Linked DNA regions of Drosophila melanogaster. The gene in region 4 interacts genetically with the main gene of each other region. Each region holds a gene or a part of one and is shown on either strand. Other genes may lie near its edges.

Region 1 (3,189 bases), on a different chromosome or scaffold from region 4:
ACGCGCAACTTTCAGAAATGCCGATTTTGCGGAAACTTTTCACCGTGAAGAGCCGCTCTTTTGGTCACCGATGCTGCGCCAGGACTGAGTCAGTATTTTTGAATACTTTCTGTGTCTAGAACGTTCGCTTTTCACCCTTTTATTGACTTTTTTGTATCGCGCTTCTACGGAGTAAACGTAACTAAACTGCTTCTTGCTAGTGCTGCACAATTTGTACTCTAAACGCGTTGGCAGCGCCGTTTCATCGACTCATAGTCCATCGATAGCCACGTCATATCGATTACTTGTAGTTTTGGTATTACCAAGTACTGAGTGTATGGCCACATTGCGACACCACACGCGGCCCGTTGCAGTTTTTTATTTATAAGTCCACACCGCATACAAATGGTTTCGCAGCAGCAAATCGAGGCCATTGGAGGCGTTCTGAACAACAAGGAACGCCCACTGAAAGAGCGCTTTCGAGCCCTCTTCACGCTGAAGAACATCGGCGGAGGAGCGGCCATCGAGGCGATCAGCAAAGCCTTTGACGATGATTCGGCCCTTCTCAAACATGAGCTGGCCTACTGCTTGGGTCAGATGCAGGACGCACAGGCGTTAGACATCCTCACCAAGGTGCTAAAGGACACCACCCAGGAGCCGATGGTGCGCCACGAGGCTGCGGAGGCCATGGGCGCCATTGGTCATCCAGATGTGCTGCCAATTCTGGAGGAGTACAAACAAGATCCGGTAGTGGAGGTGGCCGAAACATGTGCCATTGCTCTGGACCGCGTCCGCTGGCTGCAGAGTGGCCAAAAGGTAGATGACAGCAACCCTTACGCCTCCGTTGATCCCTCACCGCCAACTGCGGGCGACAAGAGCGTCACCGAGCTGAAGGCCATCTATCTGGATGCCCAGCAGAGCCTGTTCGATCGATATAGGGCCATGTTCAGCCTGCGCAATCTGCGCACCGAAGAGAGTGTCTTGGCCATTGCCGAGGGACTTAAGGACTCTTCCGCCCTCTTCCGCCACGAGGTGGCCTTCGTACTGGGCCAGCTGCAAGAACCCTGCAGCATTCCCTTCCTTCAAGAGAATCTGGAGGATCGCCTGGAAAACGAAATGGTGCGTCACGAGTGTGCCGAGGCCCTTGGCGCCATCGCCACAGAGGACTGCATTCAGATCTTGAACCGCTACGCCGAGGACGACAAGCGCGTGGTCAAGGAGAGCTGCGTCATCGCCCTGGACATGTGCGAGTACGAGAACAGTCCGGAGTTCCAATATGCCGACGGCCTAGCCAAACTAGACGCGACCAAGTGATTTTCGCCGAACATTTGCATCTACCAGCTGTGTATATATTAGTCGTAAACTTGTATTGTTTTGTCACTTCTGTGATCACATGGACCTAATCTTATCGAGACATAAAAAGAAATTTGAACGTGACTTCCCTGTGGTTTTTGATTAACCTGCTGGATGGATGAATCAACTGGTGGGAATGCTGATGCTAATGAGTGCCTAGTAACTATCCTAGTTTGACGGGCATTTTATCATCAACTGTGGGCAACTCTTTGTTTTTTTTTAAATGTTTTAATGTGTCTAGTAATTAAAAATAATACTATTGAGTTTTCGTTATTTTTGCTTTAAATTATTCGATGAAATGCATTCAGAATACATTCTGAAATTCAAAGTACAAGGCGACATGGCAGCCCCATTTGAGCGGTTATAAACTGAAAAAAATATGAATACTTTAGCAATGCACTCAAATTTCCGCTTTGGAATTTAAATAACAAGTATTTTCCTATCCTTTAAATCGCCCAACAAAAACAAAAACTCAAGAACGCGGCTGGCTGCCCAGTGTGACCACTTGACGATTTCCCACAATTCACCTTGCCGGCATTTCGTATTCGGGATTTTTTTGCAACGGCGAACACATGAAGCTCCTGATGCTCGGCACAATTTTGGCATTCTTTTCTGTAATCTCGGCGACAATGGCGGCTAACAAGGAGAGGACTTTCATCATGGTCAAGCCCGATGGCGTCCAGCGCGGGCTCGTCGGCAAGATCATCGAGCGCTTCGAGCAGAAGGGCTTCAAGCTGGTCGCCCTGAAGTTCACCTGGGTAAGCGGATAATTGAATTAGGAAGAAATCAATAGATATAAATACGTGGAAACGGGTTGCCCCACGCGGGGTTGCCATCGGACCTAACCTCAAAGGCTGGGTGCAGGCGTCATCGCGGAATGACATGTGTTTAGAGGTCAGAACTGCAATTAACTGATAACGAACCGTTTTGTAACCAGGCCTCCAAGGAGCTGCTGGAGAAGCACTACGCTGATCTGTCCGCCCGCCCCTTCTTCCCCGGACTCGTGAACTACATGAACTCCGGCCCCGTGGTGCCCATGGTGTGGGAGGGTCTGAATGTGGTCAAGACCGGTCGCCAGATGCTCGGCGCCACCAACCCCGCCGACTCGCTGCCCGGCACCATCCGCGGTGACTTCTGCATTCAGGTCGGACGCAACATCATCCACGGCTCCGATGCCGTCGAGTCTGCCGAGAAGGAGATCGCCCTGTGGTTCAACGAAAAGGAGCTGGTCACCTGGACCCCGGCCGCCAAGGACTGGATCTACGAATAGACGGCTACTTTAACTGTCTGCCCTCGTCTAAGCTGAATACAGATTGATTCTTCTAAAGAAATAAAATTCCACAATAATTACTATATAATCTTGCTTCTTTATAAGGAGTGTGAGCTTTGGAAAGGTTTCTATGATATTAAGTTAAGGATAGTCGATAGCCTATCCACTGAGCTGTAGGCTTTGTTGGCGGTAGCACCCATCCTCTGGGTATAGAGGAGCCTCTTCCACAGTAGCTTATGTAAGAATCCCATGTGGAGCTGGAAAAAGCGATGCAATTAAAAGGGAGCTCCCGCCGGACAATGCATTTCCCTAGACATACCGAATTTCAAGAAATTTCCCCTTATTTAATTTGGGAGTTGGCAAGGATCGGCCGAAGAACACAGCCTTCCATTGAGATTCAAGTGAAGCCACCTTCTTGGACTCCTTGACATGGCCAGCTTGAGTCTCTTCTTGGACTCTGCGCCAAACAAGACGCATGTGGGTCAGTTTTTGGCAAAGGGCGGCTCTGTCTCCTCCACGAGACTCGCAAAGTTTCTCCAGAAGATCAAAGGTCTCCAAAATGGAGGCAGCATCGCGTTGTTTTCGCA
Region 2 (7,741 bases), on a different chromosome or scaffold from region 4:
CGCAACATTTTTACCAGCTGCCTGCAGCATGCCCCCGCCATTGTTGTGCTAGAAAACTTGGATGTACTGGCCCACGCTGCTGGAGAGCAGTCCAGTCAGGATGGAGAGTACTACAATCGCATGGCGGATACTGTGTATCAGTTGATTGTTCAGTATACCACCAACAACGCTATTGCAGTAATCGCCACCGTCAACGAGTTGCAGACCCTCAATAAGCGATTGAGCTCACCAAGGGGAAGACATGTCTTCCAGACTGTTGCTCGTCTGCCCAATTTGGAACGAGCAGATCGAGAGATAATTCTTCGAGAGCTGTGCAGCCATATCAATGTGGCCAAGGACCTGGATCTTGTTAAGTTCTCCAACCTCACGGAGGGCTACCGGAAATGTGATCTTGTTCAGTTCGTGGAGCGTGCAATATTTTATGCTTATCGCATAAGTGAGTAGTTTGTAGTGTTAGTAAGCAACTTTATCATGTTAAATTCCCTTTTTTCCAGGCAAGACCCAGCCTCTTCTGACCAATGATCAGCTTATTGAGTCCCTGGAGCACACAAACTCGTACTGCCTGCAGGGCATTCAGAGCAATCAAAGAACTGGCAATGATGCCGATGCCAATGAAATGCGCGTCGAGGAGTTGCCTGGCCTGGAGTCAGTTGTGGGAGTTCTGGAGGAGGTCCTTATGTGGCCATCAAGGGTGAGTTTTAAACGAAATATATGTTTTTTTCTAAAATTTAATAAATCATTAATTTCTTACAGTATCCAACCATTTTTAACGCCTCTCCACTGCGCAACCAGGCCGGAGTACTTCTATATGGGCCACCAGGAACAGGTAAAACCTATCTGGTCTCTCAGTTGGCCACATCGTGGAACCTGCGCATCATTTCCGTCAAGGGTCCTGAGTTGCTCGCCAAATATATTGGTCAAAGCGAGGAAAATGTTCGAAACCTGTTCAATCGAGCTCGCAGTGCCCGACCATGTGTGCTTTTCTTCGACGAGTTTGACAGCTTGGCGCCGAAACGTGGTCACGATTCCACGGGGGTCACCGATCGAGTGGTAAATCAGTTGCTCACAGAACTGGATGGCGTTGAAGGACTGCAGGGAGTTACCGTGATAGCAGCTACCTCCAGACCGGAACTGCTAGATCCCGCGCTTCTTCGATCCGGTCGCATTGATCGCTTGGTGGAGTGTCCTTTGCCGGATGCTCCGGCCAGAGTACGTATATTTGAAGCACTCAGTTCAACACTGAGCCTTGATGAGTGCGTGGACTTCGATTGGTTTGCGGGAAAAACTGCAAACTACACTGGCGCCGATATCCAGAGCATCCTGACCTCGGCGAACATGGCGGCGGTTAAGGAGGCGCTAGCTCAATTCGGACACGAGGTGAGCTGGGAATTATTTTCACCGGAAACAATCTGCTTTATGGGTCATGCAAGCTTTCAACCGTTTCTTTCATGTTTTATTGTTTCTCATCCTGATTTCAAATGTAACTTCTATGTAAAAACTCCTTTACGTGTTTGTCTTTTAAATCAAAAGTGAAATCTATGCTACTTCCTGCAACAATGATTAGTCACGTAGTTCTTAGTCTCTGGCCACAGTATAAAATACCATTTGTTTCTTATTGCTTTCCCAGAAACTGGCAAAGAAAATTTCCTTGAAGCAGAAGCACCTGATTGAGTCGTTCCAAACCACTCGTCCTTCGCTCAGCGCCTCCGATGTGGCCAAATATCACAGAACGTACGTAACAATGTCTTCTTTGTTCTTCTGTTCTTCTTACCTTTTTAATTATCTCTTGGTAGGTATGCTCGCTTTACCAACAAGGAGAAGACTTCTAGGGAGTTTGTAGCCAAGCGTGCGACCTTGGCTTAAAGACAAAGACTTATAAGCTTAGCATTATTATTATTTTAAATTGTTTTTTGCATATTTGTACATCTGGAAAATGGAACATTTTGTTGGAAGACGCAAGTCTTAGGTAGTACATATTTCATAATTTTTCTTGTTGAAAAATAAAAACCAAATTTCTTTTATGATTACTTCGTATAAATCCATATACCACTCCGGAGTGTTAAATTGAAAGAATATTATATTTTAATTATAATGTACATACATGTATAAAAAAGAGAAAGAGATGTTCAAATTTAAGAACTAATATCTTTTCGCATTCTGACCTCGGTAAACATGAGTGCTGTTAAGGGGTGGCTCCTTAACAAATGAAGACATCAGGTGAGTTTGGTTATTAATTCACCGGAAATTGTGTTTAGCTATAACAAGTTTTTGATAGCTAGTTTGGATAGTATGTCCCTCCTTTTCGTATTTCCCAACTGTTTCGCATTTGTTCCCATAGCCCCTAACAAGTGCATCAAAAATGCATTTAACTATTTTTGGGTAGATTACGTGCCCGGCATCTGGATCTGGATTTTGGCCTATGCGGGAGCTAGCTGCTGCCATGCCACATGCAGCAACTGAGATTTTTGGATATCAGTCACGTAACGGATATTTCCTTATTGATATGCGATTACCGCGCATGCGCACGTACTGCACACCACTAAGACAATGGACACATTTTCTTTTGCATAAATTAAGCCGCCAAGCAAACAAACAGGGAGGGAACCCGAAGGCCAGATAATAAAGAATTTCAACGAGTCGAAGCCACCGCAAACATGCTTAGAATAAAACCAACAAGAACCTAGCAGAAGCAGCAGCAGCAAACCAGCAATAAAAAGAAAGGAAACCGCTCAGGAAAACTACCAGCGAAAACAATTGCAACATGCGGGAGGGAGACCACCTCGATCAGGTAGCCGTCCGAACCCATACCATCCCATCCGAAGACCCTGTGCCCAGGATCCTAGCAAACATTATCGCAGGGAACCACAGATATCCACTCGTTTCGTATCGTATTGGATCGTATTGGATCGGTTCGGTTCGATCGGCACGTTCGGATCGTTCGTATCGTACCGCGTAAAAGTTTCTTCCGTTTCGATCGTTACTTTCAGTTGTTTGCGCACATTCAAGCCAATCGGTTGGCTCCTTCCACAAACTTTACGGATTACGGTTAGTGCAACGGAAGTGAACCCCCCCCCCCCCCCCCCGCCCAACACCAGCTACCCATCACATATTTCTTTTCATTTATGCCTGGTAAAGGGAAATAAAAGTTGGCAACGAAGCGGAAATGCAAGGCGCCTTCCGCTGCCCTCTTGCCGAGTCTTAAGATTTTTATACAAGCCCCAACCGCGATTGACAGCCGAATAAACATAGTGACAATGTTTTTTGCAATCTTATTTGCCTTCTCCGGCTCCTCGAAAATAAAAGACAAAGAACGTGATTTTTTTGGTCAAAGATTTGGGGTTGTGGCATGGCAGAAAAGAATTGTGTTCCCACTGCGAACTGACAAGCAGCAGTGAAACCAAAATAAAGCAAAAAATAATTTAAGAGTGAATTGTTCCAGCAGTAAAATAAATACAAATCTTTCCAAGTGCAGCCAAAAGATCATAAACCACAGATAAATAAAAACAAAAAGTCTGCAAAGTAACCAAATGTTAAAAATAAAATTTTAATTGAGACAAAGAAACGTGATAAAACTGATTCATACATAATTAAATAAACACCAATGAAATAAATAAGAAAATAAAATTAAAGTGATGTCAATTGTATGAATGAATAATTTATGTCTTGATCCAAACATTCCTTTTACATTAAGTCAATGTTTGCAGAAAGAAAACTGAATGGGGAGTTAATACCCAGGGTTCCAAATAAAGAACTTATTCTATTCTCGATATAGCTGATTGACCAAGTTGAAATATCAAATCGTTCATGCATTAGATTTATACGCTCGATAATAATTCACAAGATAAAAAGGTGTGAGCTAAACGGTTTTGGCCATGTGCGCTTGTGGCTTAAAATCGAATCGAATAATATTGAATGAATGACAAACTGAGAAAAAAATTAAATAAAAATAGCAATAATACATACTTCAAATACAGCGATCGACTCGTATTTGGCAACAAATGAGAAAAAAAGGAATTGAATAAATTAAAACCTGCGACGCGTGTGCATACATACATAAATCGGGCCTGAAGTCAAACGGCTAGCGGCTAGCGGCAATATCGGCTAAAACAACAACAACAATTACTGGCAGCACTAGCACCATATTAACAACAACAATGACAATCGCAACGGTTGTCCCAAGCCTTACAAACAATAAAATACTTTTCATTAAACAGCACAGTGGTCAAAACGATTTTATAAAAGTTAAAAATATTTTAATTTTCTGATAGAAAAAATAGTCGAACTATGCTATGCCCCCATTATTATCAATATTTTCTAAACTTCGTTTAAAACTTTACATTTTGTACAAAGCTTACATTCGCAGACAACAAGTTTGGGAATTTACCCTATCATCATTAATCATTGAACTAAAAATTGTTTATTTTTATTTGGCAAACATTTGACGAACCCAAGTAGATGGAATACCCACTGTCCTATACCCTTTACGTGATTATACTAAAAATTAATTTTGAAATAATTATCTGCTATTAGGATTTTCGAGCAGTGTTATTCAGTGTTTAAAGCATAACTTTATTATAAATATACCTTTTAATTGATTAAAATGCTGAGCTCATATTGCACAGAGAATTTGAATGTTAATTAGTTGCTATTTCAGATTGTGGCAAATCATTTAGGTATTTCTCGATTTGTTGTTGCAATTCTCTAGCACCTTGTCTGTTTGTTTTGTAAGTGCAAGTATAGTACTTGGGGAATAACTGAAAAGTGTGACACCACTGTAACAACTGATTTCAACAAATAGCTAAGTGATTTTCTAACTGTTCGGCATTTAGTTGAATGGAAATCGAGGAGCGCAGGCCGCAGCAACAAAAGCATTTGGCGAACGTCGAATATAGACAAGTTATAATGGAGATCCCCTTCGGTAGTGGGTGGCGACGAGTGTGTCCGGCAATTCGGTGGCTTCGACCACGTCTTCCAGCTCATTACGAAGGCAGGGCACACAGTTTTCGTTTGTTTCAGTTGCTTCTCCTTTGGATTTTTGCATATCGGTGCGGACAGACTTGACTTGGCTGTGTGCCGTGTTGGCAATAAAATATTAAACAATAATAATAAATAAATAAAATGACACAGATCGGGAACTAAGGGAGGGGCAAAAAGTGAAGCGGAGATTTGGCAATATTTATTGATCCACTTATACAGCTGCGGTCAAAAGAATAGTGGCACAATAGTGGTATTCAAGTAACGAATAGCTAATAATATTTGCATTCATAACTTCTTAAATTTAGTTAAATTAAACAAAATTCCAAAGTGTTATTTTTAAAGTATAATATATCAATCAATGCCATGTAATTCATATATTTAATCCTTTCCTTTAGCTGGAGAACGCTCGATTTGAAATCGAGGAACTCGAATGAAGATACCCACAGGAAGTGATATTATTTCGACCGCAACTGTAACCCATATGTACACGATCGTGCCCATCCAGATACGAGATCTTGGTGGCTGTTGAACTCAAGAGAATCCACTTGAATCATGGCAAAAGTGCCGATCACGCTGGTGATGATCATTGCGATCGTCTCTGCCGCTGCGGACCTGGGATGCGATTATGGCCATCATCGTTGCTACATCGATGTGACTGTGGAAAACAGTCCCCGCCAGCGCCATCTGCTCTCCGACATGGACATCACGCTGCAGTGCGTCCGACCCATGGCCAAATGGTTCTATGAGGATAAGTTTCAACTGAGGGCTACCCTTTTGCGACTTGAACGAGCACAGTCCGGAAATTCTGGAAACTACGGCTGCCTGGATAGTCAGAACAGATGGTACAATATTTCCCTTGTTGTTGGCCATAAGGAACCAGTTGGCAATGATATCGCCAGCTTTGTCAAGTTGGAAGATGCACCGGCCCTCCCGGAGTCAGATCTCTTTTTTCAGCCCCTGAATGAGAGTCGATCCCTGAAGTTGCTGCAACCCCTACCCAAAACCGTACAACGGACCGCAGGTGGCCTTTTTCAGTTGAACTGCAGTCCCATGGATCCGGATGCAAAGGGTGTTAATATATCCTGGCTGCACAATGATACTCAAATCCTTGGTGGACGTGGACGCATTAAGCTTAAAAGGTGGTCATTAACAGTGGGGCAACTGCAGCCGGAGGATGCTGGAAGCTATCACTGTGAGCTGTGCGTGGAACAGGACTGCCAAAGGAGTAATCCGACCCAATTGGAGGTGATAAGCAGAAAGCACACGGTGCCCATGCTAAAGCCCGGATATCCCCGCAATACCAGCATTGCCCTCGGGGACAATGTGAGCATTGAATGCCTACTTGAGGACTCTGCCCTGGAGCCGAAGATCACGTGGCTACATAAGGGGAATGCGGACAACATCGATGACCTCTTGCAGCGTTTAAGAGAGCAGTCCCAGCTACCTGTGGATGTTACCCGATTGATTACCCGAATGGATGAACCGCAGGTACTTCGTCTTGGAAATGTCCTGATGGAGGATGGCGGATGGTACATATGCATAGCCGAGAACCAGGTTGGACGCACTGTGGCCGCCTCCTATGTGGATCTTTACAGTCCCTCAGATACTACCACAGTTCGCACGACCACTACTACCACCGTGGCCAGCCCAATACCCACTGCATCCACCGGAGAGGACAACGATGACGACGTGGAAAATCCAGCAGCGGAAGCATCAGGCGGCGTTGGTCCACCTGTGTTCAGAAAAGAGCTGAAACGATTACAGCACTCATTATCGGGAAATACTGTCAATCTAGCCTGTCCAGTGTACGGCAAAGCGAACATCACCTGGACGAAGGACAAGAAGCCGCTAAACCGTGAACTCGGCGTCTATGTGCAAAAGAACTGGACACTCCGCTTCGTGGAGGCCACCAGCGAGGATTCTGGACTATACAACTGTAAGGTGTGCAATGCGTGGGGCTGCATCCAGTTTGACTTCAGTGTCCAAATAAACGATCGCACGAGATCCGCACCAATAATCGTGGTGCCGCAAAATCAGACGGTGAAAGTCAATGGCAGCTTGGTGATGAAGTGCACCGTCTACTCTGATCTGCATCCAACAGTCAGCTGGAAAAGGGTTGTCCTCAAGAATGCCTCCTTGGACGGCCTTAAGTCTGTGGAAATCCAGAATCTCAACTTCACCGTGACGAATGACTCCGTAGTTTTAACGCTTCGTAATGTGACCTTTGACCAGGAGGGCTGGTACACCTGTTTGGCCTCAAGTGGTCTGGGAAGGAGTAACTCCAGTGTGTACCTTAGGGTAGTGAGTCCTCTGCCACCTTTGGAGATCTACGCCCTGCTGCACGCCCATCCTCTCGGATTCACCTTGGCCGCTATTACGATAGTGGCTTTGTTCCTTTTGGGCAGTGCTTTCATAACGTTCATGCTGCGTCGGCTGAGGAGGGAGAAGCTCCTGAAGCTCCGCATCGAAACGGTTCATCAGTGGACTAAAAAGGTGATCATATACCGACCGGGTGGAGAAGAAGGAAGTGGCTGCAGCTCCGGCGATCTTCAGATGCCAGTGATAAGGATCGAGAAGCAGAGAACAACCGTTTCCACAACGGGAACTGGCGGTACTGATCCCGCCCAGGGCTTTAATGAGTATGAGTTCCCGCTGGACTCAAACTGGGAGATTCCCAGGCAGCAGCTTAGCTTGGGCTCCATTTTGGGTGAGGGCGCCTTTGGACGCGTAGTGATGGCGGAGGCGGAGGGGCTTCCCAGGAGTC
Region 3 (3,580 bases), on a different chromosome or scaffold from region 4:
TGCCCTTTAGATACTCTACTGTAAAATTATATTCCTCTAGTTCAAGCCTTATTCTAGTTAATTTAGAGCTGGGGTTCACCATCGAGAATAAATATGTCAATGGTCTATGGTCTGTTTTCACAGTGAAATGTTTTCCGTAAATGTATGGTCTGAAATGTATTATTGCCCAATGAATTGCTGCTAACTCTTGTTCTGTTGTACTCTTATTGCTTTCACCTTTCGTAAAAGCTCTGGATGCATAAGCAACTGGGAGTTGGTGGCCATTATGGTTTTGAGTTAAAACTGCGCCACACGCTTGCTTGCTTGCATCTGTTGTTATGCAAAATTCTTTGCTGAAGTCTGGGTACTGCAAGAGTGTTGGGTTAATTAGCTGAGATTTTAAATGTATGAATGCTTTTTGACATTCATCTGTCCACTCGAATGGAACATTCTTTTTACATAATCTTGTTATGTGCCGCGAATAGTCGGCGAAATTTTTGATAAAACGTCTGTAGTAATTGCAAAATGCTACAAAACGTCTAGCGCTGTCCGCATCATGTGGAACTGGGTAGTTCTGAATGACATCATATTTTTTGTCATCCGGCAAAATTCCTTTGTCTGTGCATTTGTGTCCCAAAAATGTGACTTCATGCATGAAAAATGAACATTTTTCAGGATGTAACTTTAGGTTGTATTCCCTGCATTTACCAAAAACTTCAGTGAGGTTTTTAAGCATATGTTTTTCGGAACAACCTATGACTATTAAGTCATCCATATAAAGGAATGCTTGAGACGGTTCTATTCCGGAGAATGCTATAGTCATCATTCTTTGGAATGAATTAGGCGCTATTTTTAAGCCAAATGGCAATCGCGTGAAACGATATGAGCCATTGCTGGTTGAGAAAGATGTTATATCTCTCGAGCCTTCATCCAGTTCGATTTGATGAAAACCTGACATTAAATCAAGGCAGGAGAAATATTTTGCTCGACCAAGTTGGTCCAAAATATCATCTATTCTCGGTAGTGGAAATTTGTCAGCTAAAAGTTTCTTATTAATTTGGCGATAGTCTATTACTAATCTCCATTTCTTTTTATCAGAATTCGGGCTTGACTTTTTGGGTACTAATAGCAAAGGGCTATTGTACTGTGAAACTGATGGTTCAACTATTTTATCTTTTATTAATTTCTGAACTTGGGCTTGTATTTCTTCCACTTGACTATGAGGACTTCTATAATTTTTCGTGTATACTGGCTCATCATCTTTTAATCTCAACTGTTGTTTATACAAATTATTAACTGTTATAGGTTCTGATTCTAATGCAAATATATCTATATATTCGCTGCATATATTTTCTAATTGTGATTTAAACAATTCGGGGAAATTTTTCTTTAATTGAGATAAGACAGTTTTATTTCTGTGTTCACTATTTGCCTGAACTACATTGTAGTTCGAAAGTGGCTCATATTTTAGAGTGTCCATGACGTAACGCGACGACGACTGGTGGGACTGAGTGGAAAACACAGCTACGGCGCGTAACTCTGGTCTGGTGGAAATGCGGCGCACGAATTTCACGCATTTCCCTTTTCAAAAAAGAGCAGCGAGCAATGCGTGAGCGAGACGGGTAAAGTTGGCGGCGAACAGCTGTGGAATACCAAAAAAAAAAAATACCAAATAACGCCTTACTCACGACAGTGTGACCTTGCTGTGCGTTTTCTGGTCATCTTATTGATTTTCCACTTGTTGCTGCTGCTGTATCTTTTTGTAGCGAATAAAAAGCTATATCTGCACGCTGAAGCTTAAACTCGACTTGAAATTCATTCTCCCGATTATTACCGGTAGAACTGGTCTTGCGGTTAAAAACCCCAGCTGCGTTCAAAGCTCCCGCACGATTTTGACTCACCAAAATCGGTGTTCTCGTGTTTTTCTCGCATTTAGTTAAATTGCAACTTTAAAACTGGCAGCACGCATCATGTCCGCAGGTCGAGTGGTTATTTACGGTGGCAAAGGAGCCTTGGGTTCGGCCTGTGTCGATCACTTTAAAGCCAACAATTATGTGAGTTACCTTTCACTTAATTATTAAATACAATTGCCTCATTATCTATTGTTTTCCCTCGCGTCAACTACGACCTTCACCTGGATAATCCATCAGTGGGTTGGCAGCATCGATCTGACGGAGAACGAGAAGGCCGACGTTAGCATTGTGGTGCCACGCGATGCTAGTTGGGTGGAACAGGAGGAAACGGTGGTGTCCAAAGTCGGGGAATCCCTTGCCGGCGAGAAACTGGATGCCGTCATCTGCGTGGCTGGCGGCTGGGCAGGTGGTAATGCCAAGAAGGATCTGGCCAAGAATGCCGATCTCATGTGGAAGCAGAGCGTGTTGACCTCCGCCATTTCGGCAGCTGTGGCTGCTCAGCATCTAAAGGCCGGAGGCTTGCTGGCTCTCACTGGAGCTAAGCCCGCTTTGGAGGGCACACCCGGTATGATCGGCTATGGAATGGCCAAGGCAGCTGTCCACCAGCTGACCCGCTCGCTGGGCGCTGAGAAATCCGGTCTGCCAGCTGGTTCCCTGGCTGTGTCCATACTTCCCGTAACTCTAGATACACCCATGAACCGTAAATGGATGCCGGATGCAGATTTTGGAACCTGGACACCGCTCACCGAGGTGGCCGGACTTTTCCTTAAGTGGACCCAAGATCAGGAGAGGCCCAAAACTGGATCCCTGTTGCAGCTGATCACCACAAACGGCATTACGCAGCTTATCGCTGCCGAATAGGCTAAGAGATACAGATACGAATCCAAATGACACTTAATGATGAAACAAAAATGCTCAAAAACCATAATCTAAACGCTTTCGCTTGTACATAAACTATTCATAAATAAATCGCTGGGCGGCTTTCGATCGTTTAATGTGGTTCTGCTTACACGATTTGGGTGGATAACCTCTTGAACTCGGGAGCTTAACGAGCGTTTAAAGCTTGCTTAGAGTACAATCTTTAGTTTGCTTAGTTTGGAAATTGTTTCTACGACTTCTTCTTCTTCATAATCTTCATGAATAAAACCATACCTGTAAATTGAAAGGGTAATAAACTCATTAGTATAATTAAGCAGCAACAATCGAACTGCAATAAATCGAACCAATTAAGAAATGTAATTTCAAACTGAGTCACGGCAAACTTGTTTATTTGGCTTAAGTGAAGTGACTCGCAGTGTTTTCGTATTCAGTTTAAATACAATAATAATAGCAATGGAATCTAATATCTATTTATCTGTTTTCGTTCTTATAATGAATATTTATAATATTGTGATTAACATATTCAGGAAACTTGGTTTATAAACGTGTTTAAATGTGTGTTGTTGAGTTGGATAACTTAAGGTATATTTGTTAAGTAAATGAATTGGGATTTTCCAAGAGGGGTTCTTTTTTGCAGCTTGAACAAAACTTCCACAAAATACAATGACTCACCTATAAAAGTGGCAATTACGAAGGCAATCATCAGCCACAGCCAGCACTTGTAGGCTTTTTTCGAATGTTGCTCCAGTTTCTCAGCCTCTTTTCCTAGCGAATTGATATTGCGATCCGCCATTCCGGCGGAACGCGAC
Region 4 (5,598 bases):
AAATTATTGTGAAATTGTTATCCAATAATTTTGGGTCCAAACGAAAGGTACACAGTAGGATTTGCAAGTAATAGATTATATATTTATCAAACTAAGAAGTTGAATAAAAAATATTTATATTTATTTCTTTGAATCATATTTTACACTGTTTTTTTTTTTTTTTTTTGATTCGTTATATACGAAATAAATTTAAAAAAAAATTATGCATCGGCCGGGAATCGAACCCGGGCCGCCCGCGTGGCAGGCGAGCATTCTACCACTGAACCACCGATGCTCTTGCTGCATTTCAAACAAAGCACTATGATGGATACTACACGACTGGAACCAACAACCTGTTGGTGTTGGGGGATTCCTGTCACTTAGTAGCCTCCATTTCAGTAGACTCCGTGGCGCAACGGTAGCGCGTCCGACTCCAGATCGGAAGGTTGCGTGTTCAAATCACGTCGGGGTCATTCGAGAAAGCTCCTGTTGTTTTTGGGATATTTCTTTTTTTATACATTTTATAAAAAATCCTTCATTTTAACGTTATTTAAATACATAATTTATTGTATAATTAATAAGCAGCTTTGACTCACTACAAGCAACGTCATTTACATAATGAGCATATAATTTTAACATTTAAAATCTTCCAATATACTTTGGTCCCTGTCGAGGAACATTATGAATGCAACTCTTTATATAGGTTAACATACATACATAACTATAGATCTGATTAATTTGATGTGAACTGTTTATAAATTGTAAATTCCCTAAACAATTTGCCGTGATTTATTATCAGTTGTTCCCTTATTGCACAATGCATTAATCGTATGTATACGTTGTAAAAATTATCGTTCAAGTGCCATAAAACTGCATATAAAATTGAACATAAAACTACCCAACACCGGTATTCAAATCTCGTCCTCTTCGAATCTCGCTTCTCATTACATTCATCTATCTAAAAAACGTATTTTGCTAACAAAATTTTTCAACAATTTTTACACAAATCAACAAGGAAAATGGCTGCGCAATCATTGCACTAACTAAATGAAATCAATCCTAAAAACATAAACTAATGGACCCTGTGTTTCGTTTCATTTTTGTTTGTTTGTATATAAGCGCCTCCAAAAATATTGTAGGGGTTTAGTTGGTCTCGGATTTCAGTAGCGTCCTCTAGTGCCCACTCTATTTGCTATTGACTAAGTTCAGGAATTCCTCACGGGTCTTGGGATCGTCTCGGAACACGCCCAGCATAGTTGAGGTAACAGTTTTGCTGTTGATCTTCTGCACGCCACGCATCACCATGCACATGTGGCTGTATAGGAGGAAAGCCATTCGTTAAACTATAATATTCTTTAAAATATATATGTATATATATTTAATACTTACACTCCCTCTACGACCACTGCTACTCCAGCGGGTTGCACGGCCTGAGTCACGGCCACTGCGATCTGCTTAGTTAAGCGCTCCTGGACTTGCAGGCGACGCGAAAATATTTCGACAATGCTATGGGATCGCAAATTATATGAAAGATCATCTAATATGCATTACTAAGTTTATCTTACCGTGCCAATTTACTGAGTCCGAGAATCTTGTTGCACGGCAAATAACCGATGGAAACTTTGCCGTAGAAGGGCACCAGATGATGCTCGCACATGGAGAACATTTCAATATCCTTGACCACCACCATTTCGTCATGATCCTCGTCGAAAACGGCGCCATTGAGAACATCTATTAAAAAAAATTTGAAATGGTGTAGTAAAAAAAAAGTACGAAAAAGGAATTCATCATCGCCTGACCCCGACGTGATTTGAACACGCAACCTTCCGATCTGGAGTCGGACGCGCTACCGTTGCGCCACGGAGTCGTTATTGAAAAGTTCGCCCAATGTCCCACAACCACGAAGCTACTCAAGTGGCGTTCCTTCGCTACCCGTGATTTATGGCGCGCGTAATTCGTGTTAGATTTATTTGCTGCATAACTGAATACTGAATGTTAAGTTCAAGCGACTGTGAGTGCTAAAGTGGTTGCTTAGCGAGTGTTTGTGTGTGTGTGTGCGTGTGTGAGGTTGCGGGTCTTGGGGGGAGGTTGACTTGACTTGACTTGACTGGATGGGCTTATGGTTCTTGTGGAGTGTGAGCTTTCGCCACACTCGTTTTAAACGATGTGCTCTTGAGATTCCCATTCCTTGAATAGAAGCCGCCGCCGCACCGCACACCCACCCACTTTACCGCTCTTAATATACAGACCGGAAAGCTTCAGTGCGTTTCCTGACCAACCAGCGAAGAAGCCAAGAAGTAGCCAAGTAGCCAGTGAGCCATCTAACAAACAATCCAACAAGCATCTTGTGTGTGTGGTGGGGAGGGGGGTGGAGTTCCCCCAACACCAGATTGGCAAGTCACGTTGGCTCGGCTTCTTGGGTTCTTTGAATTCGGGTTAAACACAATCCAACCCATTCTATTGCCGATGCCGAAGGCTATTCACTTTCGTTCAACGAATTTAGCTTTCAAATGGCCTGCTGCTGTTGCTGTTGATCTTAAATTTACATGCGATTTTATTTGACAAACCGTAGAACCTGATTTCTCGGGCAACCGGTTAGGTATGCTGGTGTAGCAACCATATAATTCGCAATTCTGTTTTGTTTCTCAAACGACTCACATTGATTACATGACAAGTTCAAAAGCGACTGCAAGTCGAAATGCACGCCAAACATGAGACCAAAAACTTTACTAGTCAAATCTCATATTTCATAGGATATTGAATGGATTTTGGATGCGTCCACTTGATTGGACAAGCCCGAAATTGCCTAATGGCTCCCTATGTTCATGTGCTTTATCTCTCGAGTGGTCAGGTAATTAGGCTAATGCACCATAGCGGACCGAGGAACCCCCGTAAATGGTGATTCACCGACATGAAACTAGTTCCCACTCGCTGGGAAAACCAGGATGAGCAACTTCGATCACTGACCCGGTGCTAATTGCTTGAAATGTGTGGTGTGCTTACCCTCGAGACTCTGGTCGTAGCCCTTGGTGAAGTACAGCATGGCCTTGGCTGCCCGCTCCGGCGTCTTGATCAGTCCCTGGCGATCGGGATTCTCGCCCAGGCCGCCCAAGAGTAGACGATACGAGCGTGCCATGTCCGGAAGGAGGGCCTCTCGCGTCGGCGGCTTGTGGTCCAGCTCCAGGTCGTGGTGGAACGTGCACTTCTCGTGGCCTGTAAATGGAAATACGGATGGAAACATGATGAGAATCGTTATCATGCGAGATAGGAAGGCATTGCCCCCCTTCGTTGGCTGTGTGTGGCTGTCTAAGTACTATTCCCCATTCCGAGGCGCATCTTCTGACCTCTGAACCGAAACACTAACCCACTGATAGGCGTACGGTTTATGCTCAAAAAGAGTTTGTCAAGCACTCCTCCTCCTCCTAGTTCATTGACTAACTAAATCGGTCGCAGCAAACATAGCTCTGGATCCCCTGACCTGGTCCTGGACCACTACCCACCACTACCTGGCGTTGTCGATGTACGCGGTGTCAGTGGTGTTTTCGGTTGTGTACCATCACTATCCGGACTGCTGCCGTTGGTCTTCAGGATGAGGCGGGGTCTCTGGTTGCCGGCCAACGGGACGAGAGCAGGAGCTGGCGCCACCTCCTCGACGGGTGTGCCCGCAATGGCAGTGGCCTCCTCCGCCTGGTTCTGCTGCCTGTCCGCCAGCGAGGAGGTGCCCGAGGTGCTACTTGTTGAGCAGACGCTGTTGTTGCGTCCGCGCGAAAGGATGTGGGCCTGCGGGAAGTTGGTGTCGTCGATGGCATCGTTCAGCTCGCTGGCACTCATCTCGGACAGTTGGCGGGTAAAGCTCATGGCGGTGCGGCTACTCAGGTTTGTTTGCCACTCGAATGGAACTCAATTTGACGGCTAGCACACAATCTTTTTTCCTCGATGATTTTCTCACTGCTATCTGTCTCTTTTTGCGCTGCTGTCTGCCGGACTTTGTCTTCGCGTGTTGGCGCTTCGGGTGGCTCTGCTCTTCTGGTGGCTGCTGTGGCCAGCGGTGGCAATAAGAACCTCTCGAGCGGAGCTTTGAGCGGCGGAAAGCTCCAATCAATAGCCAACAGACCATCCAACGGGCAAGCTCTGCTCCGAGTTTCGCTTGCCGGAGATTAAGTGAGCGGAACTAAACCGAGCTGAGCGCAGGCCCACGGTTTGGCATCCAGTGGCTGTAAAACCGCGCACGAACTTGTTGCTCGGCCAGGAGGCGATAGAACTACAGCACTAGCCACGAAAATAGTGCCATCAAATGTTAAAAACTAGCTTTGGGTGGTAGGTCAATTTACTTGTTAGGAAAGTAAAGCTACCTTATTGGGATAAGTGTAGCGTTTACCCTTAATATATATTATTAAATAGAGTGTACCAAGCTTTTGCCCTCAAACGTGCACTTTATCCTTGGCGCCAACTTAATCTCAACTATTGTTTGCATATCCTTGAAACCCACTCAACTTGGGGCCAGACGTCAAGTTGTAGTTCATTTAAACATTCCACTCGAAACGAGCTACTCCCCCAAATTCGAACCCCCTTCCAACCATCCGCCCCTCCATTCATCTTGGAGAACCAAAGTCATGGCGCACCGCCTCCAGCTCCGTAGCGATGACTTCGACGTTATCGGCGCCGTGCCCCGCAATCTGTCCGTGATCAAGAACTTCCTGAAGCGGGACTGTGCCATCAAGAAACTGATCGACATCGAGGAAGAGTTCCTGCAGGAATGCGTATTGCGCGGCCAGGATCCCATGAATCCGAAGGGTAAACGTGACAGTGACAGTGGGCCACATGGTAGTGGTTTGGGATCCAATGTGCCCGAACCCAAGCCGGATCCATGTGCTACCAAGACACCGGAGAACACATTGGCCTCCGACTACTGTGATCCCTGTCGCCGACTCAAGACCTCCGTGGTTCTCGAAGAGGTGAGTGATCTGTACATTCAATGTGCTTCAGTGATTTAGATGTTACTCCACTCATCTATCAGCTAACCAAGCCGGCCATCACAAATCCGGCTTTCAACAAATCCCTGCCGCCGTACTTCGATGAAGAGAGCGTGATGGGCAACTCGTTGCCCGTGAAGTTCCGTTTCCGGCGCAAGTTCAACAAGTGCGACCAGGAGAAGGCCGGCAACCTGATGTGCACCAACACGCCGAGCACCAATGTGGTCGTGTTGACCAACTGTTGCGACGTGATGGTCTGGCCCAGTCAACGGGTGGCCCAGATGAACCGGGTGCCGGTGACCATGCTGTCGGGCGAAGCCGATCTCACGGAGTACATGCTGGAGGAGGAGACCATTATGTGAGGGAATGGTTGGATGGGTGCAGCTTTTTGGCACATAACGCCGATCAATAAAGCATTAACCCCACTTAGAAGTGTCCTCATTTTGTGCGGGAAACCCTGCATCCCACATGTGGGGCTTCAATTGAAAGTAGCTAGTCTCTCCAGCTGGCCAAATTTGATTATTCTCTGCATATATTCGGAATCTTATTTGCATGCAAAGTATTCGTGGTTTATCGCGAGCACTTTTCTTGTTTATGGCATGGAGTTGAAGGTTATTCTTTATATATGTATATACATATATATGTC

What was found.
Region 1: of Pu (region 4) and awd, changing one enhances a phenotype caused by changing the other (phenotypic enhancement), as found in Drosophila melanogaster (one study listed by BioGRID).
Region 2: of Pu (region 4) and btl, changing one suppresses a phenotype caused by changing the other (phenotypic suppression), as found in Drosophila melanogaster (one study listed by BioGRID).
Region 3: of Pu (region 4) and Dhpr, changing one enhances a phenotype caused by changing the other (phenotypic enhancement), as found in Drosophila melanogaster (one study listed by BioGRID).

What each region holds. Positions count from the first base shown.
Region 1 is NT_033777.3:31,744,671-31,747,859, reverse strand, and holds awd (abnormal wing discs), read left to right. Parts: upstream 1-1,782; 5' UTR 1,783-1,916; coding exon 1,917-2,090; intron 2,091-2,269; coding exon 2,270-2,602; 3' UTR 2,603-2,688; downstream 2,689-3,189. Other genes in the region: nero, read left to right, coding at 385-1,293; CG1896 (uncharacterized protein), read right to left, coding at 2,739-2,859, 2,922-3,189. UniProt on the Drosophila melanogaster protein: Major role in the synthesis of nucleoside triphosphates other than ATP. The ATP gamma phosphate is transferred to the NDP beta phosphate via a ping-pong mechanism, using a phosphorylated active-site intermediate.
Region 2 is NT_037436.4:14,074,083-14,081,823, forward strand, and holds the start of btl (breathless), read left to right. Parts: upstream 1-1,731; intron 1,732-1,793; coding exon of another isoform or gene 1,794-1,863; 5' UTR 1,864-1,966; exon of another isoform or gene 1,967-2,041; intron 2,042-2,982; exon of another isoform or gene 2,983-3,045; intron 3,046-5,372; 5' UTR 5,373-5,529; coding exon 5,530-7,741. Other genes in the region: Pex1 (peroxin 1), read left to right, coding at 1-436, 495-691, 754-1,377, 1,628-1,731, 1,794-1,863. UniProt on the Drosophila melanogaster protein: May be required for patterning of muscle precursor cells: generation of mesodermal and endodermal layers, invaginations of various types of cells, and CNS formation.
Region 3 is NT_037436.4:9,132,858-9,136,437, forward strand, and holds Dhpr (dihydropteridine reductase), read left to right. Parts: upstream 1-1,702; 5' UTR 1,703-1,949; coding exon 1,950-2,033; intron 2,034-2,129; coding exon 2,130-2,753; 3' UTR 2,754-3,000; coding exon of another isoform or gene 3,001-3,044; 3' UTR 3,045-3,059; downstream 3,060-3,580. Other genes in the region: Use1 (unconventional SNARE in the ER 1), read right to left, coding at 3,001-3,044, 3,444-3,580.
Region 4 is NT_033778.4:21,177,532-21,183,129, reverse strand, and holds Pu (punch), read right to left. Parts: upstream 4,013-5,598; 5' UTR 3,838-4,012; coding exon 3,486-3,837; intron 3,193-3,485; coding exon 2,983-3,192; intron 1,847-2,982; exon of another isoform or gene 1,775-1,846; intron 1,711-1,774; coding exon 1,545-1,710; intron 1,486-1,544; coding exon 1,369-1,485; intron 1,295-1,368; coding exon 1,165-1,294; 3' UTR 522-1,164; downstream 1-521. Other genes in the region: CG4286 (uncharacterized protein), read left to right, coding at 4,593-4,934, 4,997-5,314. UniProt on the Drosophila melanogaster protein: Isoform B is required for eye pigment production, Isoform C may be required for normal embryonic development and segment pattern formation.